Elephas maximus indicus: one gene and its partner. The protein of the gene in region 2 interacts with the protein of the main gene of each other region in a biochemical or structural test. Links are inferred from orthologs where the notes say so. Each region holds a gene or a part of one and is shown on either strand. Other genes may lie near its edges.

Evidence for each region.
Region 1: of the proteins of EGFR (region 2) and MUC1, one has a biochemical effect on the other in vitro, tested with the Homo sapiens proteins (2 studies listed by BioGRID). The link is inferred for Elephas maximus indicus from reciprocal best matches to the Homo sapiens genes EGFR and MUC1.

What each region holds. Positions count from the first base shown.
Region 1 is NC_064821.1:193,099,384-193,106,820, forward strand, and holds the start of MUC1 (mucin-1), read right to left. Parts: upstream 3,015-7,437; 5' UTR 2,934-3,014; coding exon 2,876-2,933; intron 2,360-2,875; coding exon 849-2,359; intron 756-848; coding exon 703-755; intron 566-702; coding exon 432-565; intron 287-431; coding exon 165-286; intron 85-164; coding exon 1-84. Other genes in the region: THBS3 (thrombospondin-3), read right to left, coding at 5,677-5,735, 5,824-5,963, 6,954-7,126, 7,369-7,437. UniProt on the Homo sapiens protein: The alpha subunit has cell adhesive properties. Can act both as an adhesion and an anti-adhesion protein. May provide a protective layer on epithelial cells against bacterial and enzyme attack.
Region 2 is NC_064826.1:107,230,772-107,238,002, forward strand, and holds the start of EGFR (epidermal growth factor receptor), read right to left. Parts: upstream 3,006-7,231; 5' UTR 1-3,005. UniProt on the Homo sapiens protein: Receptor tyrosine kinase binding ligands of the EGF family and activating several signaling cascades to convert extracellular cues into appropriate cellular responses.

The DNA of each region.
Region 1 (7,437 bases), on a different chromosome or scaffold from region 2:
GTACTCGCTCATAGGGTGGTAGGCATCCCGGGTTGGAAAGATGTCCAGCTGCCCGCAGCTCTTTTGGCGGCACTGACACACAGCCTGGGGAGAGAGGGTGTTTTGGTGGACCATGGGACTCCCTCTGGCAGGGCAACTCGGTCAGGGCCAGAAACAGCACTTACCAGGGCAATGAGATAGGTGATGGCCAGTGCAACCAGGACACAGACCAGCACCAGTAGGGCAATGCCCCAGCCTGGTACCCCAGACCCAGGTGGGGCAGAGGAAGAGAAAGGCACCTCATGCGCTAGAAAGAAAAGTAGTGGTCAGGGCAGTCTCCCAAAGGGGGCAACCCTTCCCTCACCAGCTCAGAAGGGAAGAGTCAGAACCCAGGTGCTGGAGGAGAGGGCCCCTGGTGTGACGCTGGGCTGCAGCTGGGGAAGTGGCCTCACCACTGATTCTTGAAATGATCAGGTTATATCTGGCTGCTTCTGTTGCATGCTGACCAAGCTGCATCTCCACGTTGTCAGCATTGGTGGTACCCTCTCGGAAGGTGAGAGTTGATTCCACCATGACAGATCCTGGACTGGTCACAGGGAGATGGGCAACTCTGCCTCAGCACATGCTTCCCAACCACAACCACGAATGCACCAGTCCATCCCCACAGACGTGCCAACATCCACCCACCCTCTCCCACACGGAGTCCACTGCCCAGCACTATACCTGAACTTGATATTAGAGAGGCCCAGATAATCCTTTCCATAGATCTGTGAAAACTGAGGTGAGTGGGAAAGGACTTAGGCTTGATGCTAGAGGTTTGAGTACTGGCCGCTTCAAGGCAGCATGGTGGAGGAAAGGCAAATACTCACCAAATTAGAAATGTTTCTCTGCAGCTCTTGGTAGTAGTTCGTGCTGGGGTCTTCCAGGGACGAGTTAAACTGAAGGTTCAAAATGCGAAAAGAGAGGAAGAAAAAGGAGACCCTAATAGATAACTGGGAAGAAGTGCTATGATTGGAGGAGGTAGGAGAAACTATGCTACGGGTAGTGCTACTGGCATTAGTTCTGGAGCTCTGGCTGGTAGGGGTGGTGGGAATATCAGAGTGCTGGCTGGAAACTGGGGGTTGAGTACTCTTGCCACCTGGGGTCATATCCTTGGTGGAAGTGCCATGTTGAACTGGAGTGGTAGTTGAGCCTGAGGCAGGGCTGGTGACCAGGGTGGAGGTGCCATGGTGAACTGAAGTAGCAATAGAGCCTGAGGCAGGGCTGGTGGCTGTGACAGAGGTGACATTGCTGACTGGAGGGATGGCTGAGCTGGAGACACGGCTGGTGGCCGAGGTGGAGGCGCTGCTGAGGGCTGGAGTGGTTGAGCCTGAGGCAGGGCTGGTGACCAGGGTGGAGGTGCCATGGTGAACTGAAGTGGTAATAGAGCCGGAGGCAGGGCTGGTGGCTGTGGCGGAGGTGACATTGCTGACTGGAGGGATGGCTGAGCTGGAGACACGGCTGGTGGCTGAGATGGAGGTACTACTGAGGGCTGGAGTGATTGAGCCTGAGGCAGGGCTGGTGACCAGGGTGGAGGTGCCATGGTGAACTGAAGTAGCAACAGAGCCTAAGGCAGGGCTGGTGGCTGTGGCAGAGGTGATATTGCTGACTGGAGGGATGGCTGAGCTGGAGACACGGCTGGTGGCCGAGGTGGAGGTGCTGCTGAGGGCTGGAGTGGTTGAGCCTGAGGCAGTGCTGGTGACCAGGGTGGAGGTGCCATGGTGAACTGAAGTGGTAATAGAGCCGGAGGCAGGGCTGGTGGCTGTGGCAGAGGTGACATTGCTGACTGGAGGGATGGCTGAGCTGGAGACACGGCTGGTGGCCGAGGTGGAGGTGCTGCTGAGGGCTGGAGTGGTTGAGCCTGAGGCAGTGCTGGTGACCAGGGTGGAGGTGCCATGGTGAACTGAAGTGGTAATAGAGCTGGAGGCAGGGCTGGTGGCTGTGGCAGAGGTGACATTGCTGACTGGAGGGATGGCTGAGCTGGAGACACGGCTGGTGGCCGAGGTGGAGGTGCTGCTGAGGGCTGGAGTGGTTGAGCCTGAGGCAGTGCTGGCGACCAGGGTGGAGGTGCCATGGTGAACTGAAGTGGTAATAGAGCCAGAGGCAGGGCTGGTGGCTGTGGCAGAGGTGACATTGCTGACTGGAGGGATGGCTGAGCTGGAGACACGGCTGGTGGTCGAGGTGGAGGTGCTGCTGAGGGCTGGAGTGGTTGAGCCTGAGGCAGGGCTGGTGACCAGGGTGGAGGTGCCATGGTGAACTGAAGTGGTAATAGAGCCGGAGGCAGGGCTGGTGGTCTGGGTTGAGGTGCCAGAGTGGGTTGGACTTCCGCTCTGTTCGAGAGCTGTGGAGCCAGAGATTGTAAGAACCGTTACGGAAGTGGGGGTGGTGGCAGGTGTAAGAAATTGAGGCCACAGGGTTGGAATTGGAGGACAAATCAGAGCAAGAAGAAAATACAACCTCTGGCAACTGGAGAAGTAATGCCAGGAGGATTTGGGGAGTGGGCCGCTGGCCAGGCAGCCCCTGGGTTGGCTCTTCCTGCCAGCAGCCTCCCTCTCCCTTCAGTGCCCCTTTGCTCCCAGCTTGTGCATTTCTCCACTCCCATGACTTACCTCTCCTGACTTCCCTTCCCCCCAAGACTTCTCTCCAGGACATTCACCTGTGCCTGACACCGGCTTTCCTGGGGGCCGCCTCTTTTCAGCCTAGCCTCGTCTTCTCCCCTTCATTCTGGTTCAGACTGGGCCACCCCTGTCTACAACTCCTGCCTCTCATGGTACTATCTGCCAGGAAGCAAAGCCCACAGAAACATCAGGAAATGGCATGATCAAGACAACCCCCCTCCCCACCTTGTACCCCTCACCTGTAAGCACTGGGAGTAACAGCAGGAGGAAGAAATGGGACTGGATGACTGGTGTCATGGTGGTGGTGAACTGGCTGGGGAGGGGGCAGAGCAGACTCAGGCAGGCACTGCTTGTGTGTGAGGTGAGGTGGAGCGGGCACAGGTGCCTGCCTGCTGCTTTATACCGGTCCCCCGCCCCGCCTAGGCCCAGCAGGAGCAGGTGACAGGTAACAAACTACCACCTCCTCCCCCTTTTCCTACCTCTTACCTCTTCCTCCTCCTCCCCAACTACTCCTGGCCCCTCAGGTACACTGGCTCCAATCACTCAACCCTCTGGACAACTTGTTTGCTCTCCAACTGGCCTCCCCCTTTTGCCAACCACTCCCTAGCCGCAGGAGATGGGAAGGAGGGAGTCTGGGACCTGGGTCCCCATGGCTCCAGTTTTGGGTCCAGAACAACAGCTAGGGTGAGAGAAGGAAACAGAGAAAATGGGCTAAGTCAAGGTCCTAGACAGCAAGGCTCAGAAGCCCACCCCTAAACCCTCCACTCTCATATCCCCACTCTTACTGGGTCCACTCTGAGAACTGAGAAAAAAAATAAAAAGGGTTTAATAATTAGTGGACTGACTACTAGTTGTGGACTCCCTCCCCCCTACCACTTCCCGGAATAGCCCCACCCCTCTAACCGCTCCCTGTCCTGTCCTGTTCCACACGCGGTTTTACCCCGAAACCTGTAGTCCCCGCCCCGGCCAGACTTTCCAGCATCCTGGCTCTCTGCTTGGCTTTCTCCGTAACAGGGGGCGGGGAAAGAAATTTCCACGTAAAGAAGGACGAAACCTGGGCTCCGCTGAACCCTAGGGTCTTTCCTTCCCAGCCTTCCACCTTCCACCTGCCAGCGCGGACGGCCAGCATTGCTGGCCCCGCTCTCCTGCCCTCTAGTGGTCACGCGAGCCTCGCGGGGCTGTCCCGGGCGGGCTGAGAGACTGGCCCGGTCCGGGGAGAGGAGGTTGGGCTGTGCTGCCTGAGAGGGGCTTGGAGAGAGCTGCAGAAGGCAGGGCCCCGACGGAAGGGTCAATGCCAGGGGCAGAGAAGGAAAGTGCTGTGCGATGGAGGGGCTGGGCGCTTCAGGAAGGGGACTCTGGGGCGCGTGGGGCAGTGTCTGGAAGAAATGGCGGTAAGTGGGTGGGGTCTTGAGGTTTGTGAAAGGGGCACCGAGTAACTTGGGAGACGACATCGCAATGTGGGAGGGGGAATGGGACAGAAATATGTAGGGGCAGTTACGTATTTGAAGCGAAGAGTAGGTGGGGCGACGGAATGGTATGTGAAGGCATTTTGGGGGACAGAACTAACTTGGAGACTAGATTGGTATTTGGGGAAGGCAGGCACTTGGTGGGGGGCAGAGTTGTATGTGAGGGTGCGTAATTTGGGAGGACCGAGAGGTATTTTGAAAGGCAGAAATAATTTGGGGGGGGGCAGAGAGGTATCAAGCCACTGCGGCACGTGGAGCTCAGGGTATCAGACCCCGTTCGGTGGTCCCGAGTTGCGGTCTAAGGCTGATAAAAGTAGTTACGTCTGTATTAGGAAGACATTTTTATCCCCAAGGAGTACAGATTGAAAAATAATACTTCAAAAACACCTCGGTGCGGCGCAGGATTGAAGGGAAGCCGGGCCAGTAAGCACGGGACCACCGTTGCCGCCCGCACGCTGCTCGGCCTGGTTTGCGCCGCTTTGTGCGGCCGCGAGACCCGGGGGCGGGTGCGGGGCAGGGGGAGCGGCTGACGTCAGCGCGCCCGGGCCGGAGAGGCGGGGACGCCCCCCCACCGCCGGCTACAGACAGCACGAGGATCTAGGTGGGCGGCCCCAAGCGCCAACCCCGCCGTTGCCAGGCAACAGCCATTCAGTTCGGTTGCTGGGACACGCGTTACCATGGCGACAAGTCTGCGCCGCGCAGTCTGAGTATTTAAAGAGCAAGCGCGCGCAACGCCCGGGCATCAGAAAGCGGCCTTCCGGGGTCTCGTGGTCTTTTTTTCATCCCCTTTCCCGTTCCTTTTACCCTACTCCAGGCTCCAAATCTCTCTGGCCTTCAAGGGGAACCCAACTCCCAGCCCACCCCCGTTTCTCAGGCCGGTCCGGCTTCAGACGGTGGGGAGCGGGATCCCGGGCCCCGGGCGGGCGGGAGGGACGGGACGCGGTGCAGTGTTGTTCTTTCCCCCGCCAATATTGCACTCGTCCCGGCCTCCGGCCCCCCCGGCCCCCCGGCCTCCCCCTTACCTCAGCGGGGCAGCTTCCGCTCTCCTGGCTTCGACCCCGGCTATCTAAGACAGACTGGAGTGTTGCCGCTGCCGCCGTGAGTAAGTAGGGTGGGGAGGGCTGTAGGCATCCTCCGAGCAGCATCTCATCCTTCACCTAACCCCATCCGGCGCCTTCCCCACCTGCGCCCCAAACTCTGCCAAATTTCCCCTAGATCTCTTAACTTTTGTCCTACCAAGCTTCTTCCCTTCTCCCCTTCAGGTTCCTTCCTGCTCCCCGACCTATCCCGGCAAATCCCTAAAATAAGCAATTGCACTAGGTTAGAAAACAACTGGAACTTTATGGCAATGTGCTGTTATCTTTCCTGGGGTGTTACCTTTTCTGGGGTGAGTGCCTGAGAAATACCCCTTGAAAATGTCCCATCCCCAACCCCTATGGGGCTGAACTCCTGGTGGGTGCCAAAGGAGGGTCTGTGTTTGGCTGAGGGGCTGCAGATTAGACCCTAGGGTCTCCAGGATGGACCCCGAGGCCAAAGGGTCTAAAATCAGGATTCTGAATCCGGTGGCCACCTCCTCACACCCTTTCCTGGAGCAGCTGCCTCCGGAATGGCTCAAAGTCCTCTGGCACTGTGTCTGAGGAAGGGGAAATGAGTAAGGTCAGAAGATGTGGCTCTCTCACAAGGGCATGAGGGGTCAGGTGGATCTTGGTCTAGTGCCTCACCATTGCATCGATACTGGAGATTGGACCAAATGATGTTTTCTTGGGAGAAGCAGAATACACCAAGACGCCCCCCTCGCATGGATGTGTCAATGATCACCCCAGAATCTGCCACTAGCTGGGGACCCTCATAAAGCTTCACCCTGTCCAGGAAAGGGGGTCCATTGGTGCTGGGATGCCAGTGGTCACTGTGCCACCATGCCCTGGTCCTGCTCACCCCCAGTCCCCCTTGAATTCACCAGGCTGCAGAGAGAAGGGAGGGAGGGGGAGGGAGAAAGGAAAGGGGAGGGAAGGGGGTGCTTTTCTCAGGCCTGGGGCCCCTGGCTCTTTGTCCAGCCCCCTTTGCATCTCAAAGCACCAGCCGCATTTCAAGCGAGGATTGGGTTGCCATGACGATGAGCACAATGGGCTGGGGGGTGAAGTCACCCGCTTCCCAGGCTCTAGTCCACCCCTCCCTTATCCCCTGCTCTGGCCCCCCACAGCCCCAGGCACCTTAAAGGGGAACTAACCCAGATCCCTGGACTCTGGGTTCTTGGCCTTAGAAAGTCCACCTCCAGTCAGACCCATTTCCCCTCCTTTGCTTGTCAGTGGCTTTCTGCAGTTAGCAGCCCCAGCTCCCCACCAAGTGGGGGCATTTGTCTGAGGAAAATGTAAAGTTATGGACAAAGTGCTGAATTGAGAGGCCTCAGCTGTTGCTACTCAGAGCTGTGAAGTCTGGGCCTGGGTTTGTTCTTCTGTAAATGATGAACCCTTCCAGGTCAGACTTAATGAGGCATGTTTGGGGTTTGGAGAATCCCAGATAATCATTCAGGCCATCTAGCCTAACACCCTTATTTTACTGAGGGGAAATGGGGCCCAGAGGAGGAGGGACTTGCCCAACATTGCACATAAGTCCTTGGCAGCACCAGCCAGAGCCCCTGCAGCCTGACCAGCCAGAGCCCCTGCTGCCTGATGGTAGGAGGAAAGCAGAGCCAAGGTGGCATGTCTGTGGTGAGAGGGATGATAGAAGTAGCCCAGTCCTGGCCCGTGGTACCAAGGAATTGAGGAAAGAGGAGTCACCGGTGAGTCTCAGCTAAAGGGGAAAGAAAGACCAGGCCTGGGGTCCCCTAGGAGAGCTCAGCCCCTCCCCTCACCGGATGTAGCCAACTTGAGGCCGGTGCAGCAGCTGCCAGCGGTAGGAGGTCTTGTCACGCCAGCCCACATTTCGTGGGTCAGTCCACAGCAGCCGTACCTGATCAGCGGTGTGGCCGGTATGCCACAGGGCATTCCGGAGGTGTTCGCCTGGCCCAGACACTGATGTCACTGCCTGGGGGGCAATGACAAAGCCAATGGGTCAACTACAGGAATCAGAGTAAGGGGCGAAAACAGGTGGTAAGTGTAGTTGGGGAAAGAGCGTGATCAGGAGAAGGTTCCGGTGCCTCAGACAGCAGACCTCCAGGCCAAGTGTCTGAGTAAAGGGGTTCCCAGTCAGGCTGTGGGGGCGGTCCTAGAGTTAGAGGGGAAACTTTGGAAGGGGTTCTGGGTGGGGGAGTCTGGGCAACTGGGGACCTTGAGCTGCAGACCAGGCTGGGCAACAGCCCGGAAAGGTGTGGCCTGCCAGTAGGTTTGCTCCGTCTG
Region 2 (7,231 bases):
TCTCTGTAATCAGTCTGGAAGTGAACGTCTCACACCGCTTTATAAGCAGACTTCATCCTCATGGCTTTTCTCTGAAGAAACAGTAGCAAAAACAAGCGAATATTTCTCCCAAAGAGGTCTTCTTTGGTGGTGGTGTTAGCTGCTGTCCAGTCAGCCCCCGACTCAGGGAGATCCTGAGCACAGTGGACCTGATGGGCTGCAGATCAGACTGTTGTGATCCATAGGGTTAGAGTGCCAGACCTTTTTTCCTAGTTCATCTTAGTCTGGAAGCTCCACCGAAACCAGTCTGGCATCCTAGCTATTCGCCAGCCTCCACTGACAGATGGGTGGTGGCTGCACATGAGATGTACAGGACAAGAATCAAACTCAGGTGTCCAGCATAAAAGACAAGCATTCCACCACCGAACCACCAATGCCTCAGACCCAGGGAGTCCTAGAAGCTCAGAAATAAAGCAAGGCCTCTGTACTCCAAGTATATGGACAAATGATTTTTCATTGCACTCCTCCAAACATTCTTCCCTCAAACCACCCATTCCTATCCCTACCTCTGCTGCTTTTTAAAAAAGACTTAAAATTTTTTTTTACAGTAATTTTAGGTTTACAGAAAAATTGCACAGAAAGTACAGTACAGAGTTCCTCTATATCTTCCCTCAAGCCCCTGCACACAGTTTCTCCTATTACCAACATCATGAATTGGTTTGGTACATTTGTTACAATCGATGAAGCAATATCAAAACCTTGTTAGTAACAATGTATCAGTGGTCCATAGTTTACATTAGGGTTCACCCATTGTGTTACAGAGTTCCCTGGGTTTTGACGAATGTCATGTATCCACCATTACAGTATCATTTGTAATGTAAGTGTGGATAAAGCCTTTTCATGGGATCCTCTCTTTCTACACCAAGCTTTATCCGAGTTTGTTTTTAAATGGTGATAGCACATGGCCTCCTGGTTGATGGGGTTACTTCAAATATTGCGGCCAACATCGGTGACATGGAGGTTATGACTGCTACTGTGCTACTTGGGTGATGGCTTCAGTAGAGACTGGAGTGAGGAAATGTGAACACTCACCATCAATGCAGAAACTCAGGGAAGATTCAGCTGGCTGAAGATCAGTGTGCCCTGGACATGCAGACACAAGCAATCTTTGGTTTGACCTTGTTCTGCATCTCACTCTATCTCTTAGGAAAGCTGTAGCCTAAGCTGCAACTGCTACCCCAGAAACAACCAAAGCCCTAGCAAACAATGAAATAAAAAAGAGAATGGGGCTGCTGCCACTGGAATGTCTGAATCCTGTATTTGGGGCTCTGGTGACACAGCGGTTAGGTGTTTGGCTGCTAACCAAAAGGCTGGCAACTCAAATCCACCAGCTGCTCCTTGGAAACCTTATGGAGTAGTTGTACTCTGTCCTGTAGGGTCACTATGAGTCAGAATTGACATGACGACAACGCGTTTAGTTTTTTTTTTTTCCCTAGTCCCAGAAGAATGTTTTGATATGAAGTATGATGTTTATGAAGAATACGCAAAATAGAATGATGATGTTTTGTTGAGGATTTTTGCCTGTGGAAACTTAATTTTCAGACCGAGATATTTCAAAACAAAAAAGGCAAAACCAAAACTATGACTGTTCTTTTGACTAAGCTGTAAAAGTAGAGAGCTCACTTTAAGTTTTCAACATCATGTACCAATAATTATTGGTAATAATAATTAATTAACCTTTCAGGGACTTTGCTTATTAGGACAGGCATCTATTTGCTTGACTGTACATTATCCATATTGATGACTTCCTCTAATAAGTGGAATACTTTGAGATATTTTCCATGGGTAGCATTCTTGCTGTGTCCCTAGTTAATCCTGAAAGCATCTTAGGATATAACAGCATTTTCCTGCAGATATAACCAATCTGAGATTTTTTTTTTCCTCTGACCTTCATCATTTAACTCTGAAATCATGGATTTGGGTTCACTATGAATACAGCCCTACCATGCACGAGCCATTACAGTAGGTGCTGTATATCCTTTTCTCACTTCAATGCAAGAGCAATGCTGACAGAGAGATATCATTATCTCCACCATAAACCCAAACAAATCGCCATTGAGTCGATTCCGATCTCATGGCAACCCCGTGGTGTGTCGGAGTAGAAATGTGCTCCATAGGGTTTTTAATGGCTGGTTTTGCAGAAGCAGATTTCCAGGCCTTTCTTCCAAGGCACTTCTAGGTGAACTCAAAGCTCCAAACTTTCAGTTATTAGCTGAGCACAGGAACCACGTGCATCACCTGGGGACGCCATCCCCACCATACAAGTGAGGAAAGTGAGGATGGAAAACTGACCCAAGACTCAGTGTTTACTGTTTATAGCTGAGCTATCAACATCAGCCTGTCTGATCGCAAAACATCTCTGCCTCAGCATCCTGCCTCCCAGAATTACTAACCTCAAAATTGAGTTCTGTAATTTCACCTCTAGCTGAATGTATTTTTTATTTTTAAGTTTGGGAATGTCTATGTGAAAGAAAAATTTTGTGTTCTTTTGTTTTGTTTTTACTGCATCATTTTCAGGCTTAAGAATCACATGCATATCAGTCTTTGTTCCAGTTTATTTGAAAGGAAGGGAAACTGTGCAACTAACTTTGGGGACAGCCAGAACAGCGTGGCATTTAAGGAGTTGTCCTAAGCAGGTGCTCTCGTCTCTAAACCCACAGCATCATGGGTTACAGGAGAGAAGCAGCATGAGCTCCACCACCAGCATACCAGGAAGGAAGAATCTGTACACTTAGTTTGCTAATATTAATCTAAGAATCAAAGCTTCTGAACTGCCCTCTTTGTAACGTAGTGAACAGAACCTGACAGTGAAAAGCAATGCCTTTGCAATATGCTGAAGATGATTTGTTACGATGAGTGATCAACTAATCTACTTATAGAAATCTTGGCTTTATACTTTGTTTCCTTAGAACCAAGGTTTGTCAGGTGCAGGCTGACTGTTCTCCTTAGCACGAATTCGATACTACCTCCTACTACCTCCTAGCCCTGTCTCTCCTCTGCTGACGCCAACTTGCCAGAGCATGCTTCACACAAAATCTTTCTTTGTATTAAAAAAAAAAAAAAAAGCACTGCAAAAGTCTGGAAAGTATAGGAGGCAAGACAATGTCACAGCAATATGACCAGAGAACTAATTCTCCAGTTACCAACTCTCTGAGTTTTAAGACAGGGCTTGTAATTTTCAGAAGCCAAACTAGATTGTGGTTATTTACAAATGTTCCTTATACTTATGAGATGAGAACAACTCCTGCTGAGAAGCAAAAGTCTCTCCAAATTGAGGGAAAAGCGCTCAATTGCAAAAAAGAAGCAAGAAAGGACTACAGCATAACCTATAGGGTAACTTCTCCAGACGCCCACGGCCCAAGGAGACATTTTTAGTGCCTTATACAGTTATCTCATCTGCACTGTATCCCCCCTCCCTAGGTTGTTTTATATATACCAAAAATCAAACCCGTTGCCGTTGAGCCAATTCCAACTCATAGCGACCCTGTTGGGCCAAGCAGAATTGCCCCATAGGGTTTCCAAGGTGCGCCTGGTGGATTCGAACTGCCGATCTTTGGTTAGCAGCTGTAGCACGTAATCACTACGCCACCCAAACCAAAAACCAAACCCAGTGCCATCGAGTTGATTCCGACTCATAGTGACCCTACAGGACCCAGTAAAACTGCCCCACAGAGTTTCCAAGGAGCGCCTGGTGGATTCGAACTGCCGGCCTTTTGGTTAGCAGTTAACCGCTATGCCACCAGGGTTTCCACTATGCCACCAGGGTTTCCTAAATATATATATAGATGTAGGTATATAGATATATCATAAAATTTGCTACTTAACCATTTTTAAGTGCAAAAGTCAATGGCATTCATTATATTCACAATGCTGTGCATCCATCACCATTATTTGCCTTGAATTTTTTTTTCATCATCCCAAACAGAAACTCAGTACCCTTTCAGCAATAACTCCTCATCCCCCTTCTGCCTCCCCTAAAGAGAGATCTATTTAGGTCTCTATGCATTTGCCTATTCTAGATATTTCATATAAGCAGGATCATATTTGTCCTTTTGTGTCTGACTTGTAGAATGTTCTCAAGGTTCATTCGTGTGTGGGACATATCAGGACTTCATTTCTGTTCATGGTGAAATCCCATTCCATGGTGTGGATTACCACATTTTGTTTATGCTTTCAGCTGTTGATGGATGCTTGAGTTGTTTCCACCTTCTGGCTATTGGGAATAGCGTTACAGTGTACAAGTATCTGGTTGCGTCCCTGTTTTCATTGCTTTTGGGTATACACCCAGGAGTGGAATTGCTGCACATTGTGTTTTAATCATGTAGTCATTAAGAGGAAAATTACGTTAGAAACAGTATGTAACTTTCTGGAATAGTTCATCTTTTTCATAACAGGGAGAGACGCCAAGAATCCCTGAGCTAGAAAGGAAGGCTGGAGCAAAAAGGTCTTAGCAGCAGAGGGTAGTCTGGGAATGACAGAGGCCATATGACTCAGATTTGTTTAGTAAAAGAAATTCCACTTACTGTACTGTTCCTCAGTGCCTTCAGCACTGCTGTCTGTATCAAAAGCCTGTGGGTACAAAGGTGACGTGAAAAACAAAAACACGCTCACTTTTCTCTTGGGGAACAATGCTGCATGTCCCCTAATTCCCCCAACACCGTCTGGTCTCTATCTTGCTCTGCTGACCTCCTCTCTGGCTTTATTCATAGACCTCTCCTTGGCCAGAGTTAACATGTTTGCGGTATGATTCACTGTGCCATGATTCCAGGCTCTTTTCTGTCCCTTTTGCAGCAGGAACCTTTTAATGAATATTCTCAAAAATGGGAAACAGGCTGTCAGTCTTTAATGACTTTCCTGTTCTTGCTTTATATGTGTCATCTTAAAATACAACTGATCTTTTTAAGGATACAAATGTGTTTGTTATCACCCAGACAGTTCTAGTGAGTAAATTACTCTTCCGGAATAATAAATGAGAGGCTTTTGAAAGTGCATTAACTGTTTAGATTCACCCAGCTCCGATCAACTGCTCAGGGAATTTCCACCCGGCTCGTGAGTCACCAGCAAAGGTTGCTGGTCCACTCCTCTCCTCCTTAGGGAGTGATTTAATAAGTCCATCTAAGTGTTTACACATTAAAATCCAGAGTGCAGCAAGAATCTCCAGTCACAGTAAGAAATTCCAGAGTTACATTTCTGAGAAAGTAGCAAGAAAATTCCGAATCTAACCCTCCCATTTATCAAGGAACCAAAAAATGTCCTCTTCCAGATACTTCACACTGACTTCTGTATGCCCCGAGAGTGCTTATTTGAAGAGATATGCCTTCTAATTTAATTACATTTTATCTGGAGCATGATGCATAGTTGAACCTTTCCATGGGGATGCAAGTGGTCACGCTGACCAGCAATACTGAGCCACATCAACCTCTTGGGCTACTGGTCAGCGAAACCAAACCAGGTGCCGCTGAGTTGATTCCGACTCATAACGGCCCCATGTATAGCTGAGTATAACTGCCCCATAGGGTTTTCTTGGCTGTAATTTTTTTATTCAAGCAGATCATCAGGCCTTATCTTCCACAGCACCGCTGGGTGGGTTTGAACTGCCAACTTTTCAATTAGCAGTCGAGCGCAAACCATTCACGCCACCCAGGGACCTCTTGGGCAATTGGTACACGGGGGTTATTCGCACTTCTGAGCTGGTGATGCTGTGTGTATCTGGTTAGTTTCAAGACGGCTGCATCTCAGAAAAGGGAGAATAACTTCTGCGTTTGCTGATGGTAAAATACTTTGAGAGGATCTCATGGGAAGGGAACTTTTTCCATAACTGTAGGTTTAGCATTTGCTTAAAAAATAATTTTTTTGTTCATTACAGCTCCTCCCCCACACCTGGTCTTTTAATCTTAAACACACACGCCACCCCTCCACAATTCTACTGCCGTCCAGGGAATACTGTATCGTTCCAATCGCATCAGCACATATGGTTCCATCTCAATTATGGACCAAAGTAAACTAAAGGCCTGGAACTTAATGACTTCACCAGGGAAGAGGTTTCAAACAAGATCAAGGAGGAAGCGTGGGGGAGAGAAAATCTGCCAAACAGCAGAAAGGGATGGAAATGAGAGGAGGAATCGTGGCCAGTTGAAGGAGGCCAGCTTGCTTGCTTCCGGGCATAGATTTCTTAATTTTTCTTATTGTTTGAAACTTGACCCCTTCTGCTCTTTCCATTGGACCTTAAGTGAAGAGAAGGGAGATGCAACGTGGTGTCTGAGGAGCAAAGAGACTTTGGCAGCTTACAGGGCTGGGTTTGTGGTTTGGCTCGGTGAGTTTGGAGAAATTACTCAACTTCTCTGATCCTTGTTTCCTTACCTTTAAAAAAGGAGCCAAGATGCCTCTCTTTTTTGTTAATTTTAAGCACTAAAATGAGGCAATGATGGGCATAACGGGCAGTTCTGGGCATGAGCCAAGCATTCACCACGGGGTTGGATTCATATTGTATAAGCAAGAAAGGGTTCCATAAAGTTTGGGCTAAAAGCACATTTTCAAGTTGAGCAAAGCATTCCATTTTAAGTAGCTCTTCAAAGATGCCCCAAGACAGTCTCTGACATTTCCAAAGAAATTCTCTTGGGAAAGCAAAACAGGCAACTGGAATGCAGAACCACCACCACCACCACCTCCGTGGTAAAAATGCTAACAATGAATATGCAGCAATATGTGGTTGGCTCTGCCTGCTTCTCAGATATGATCCTACAGGCATGAATGCAATGAGAGCAAATACAACGAAATCATACTTAGAAACCTATGCACACCTTTTCATGCAGATAAGCAGTGAAGAAAGAGAAAAAATATGTTCATTCAAGCAATAGGTAATAAATGATAATTTATTTAATTGAATTGAATTTTTCTGCAAAGTATTTCTAGGCTGTGGTTTTACTCTAAGGGTTAAGAAAGGGGGTACGTGGGCTGTGGAATCCTGAATTTCTCTACTGTTCAATTTTTTCATGCCTGTGTATTATTCCAATTTTAATTTCTATGCTGCTAAAGCAAAAACTCCTGGGCCACAAATGCAAGTGATAAAGCTGCTGCTGTGAGTTGAAAATCCACTCTCCGTCACCCAACGCCAACAATCTACCCAAATCACCTGCTACTTCTTTAAAGTCTAATTTTCATACAGAAATAAAGTTTTCTTTTTCTAGAAAGT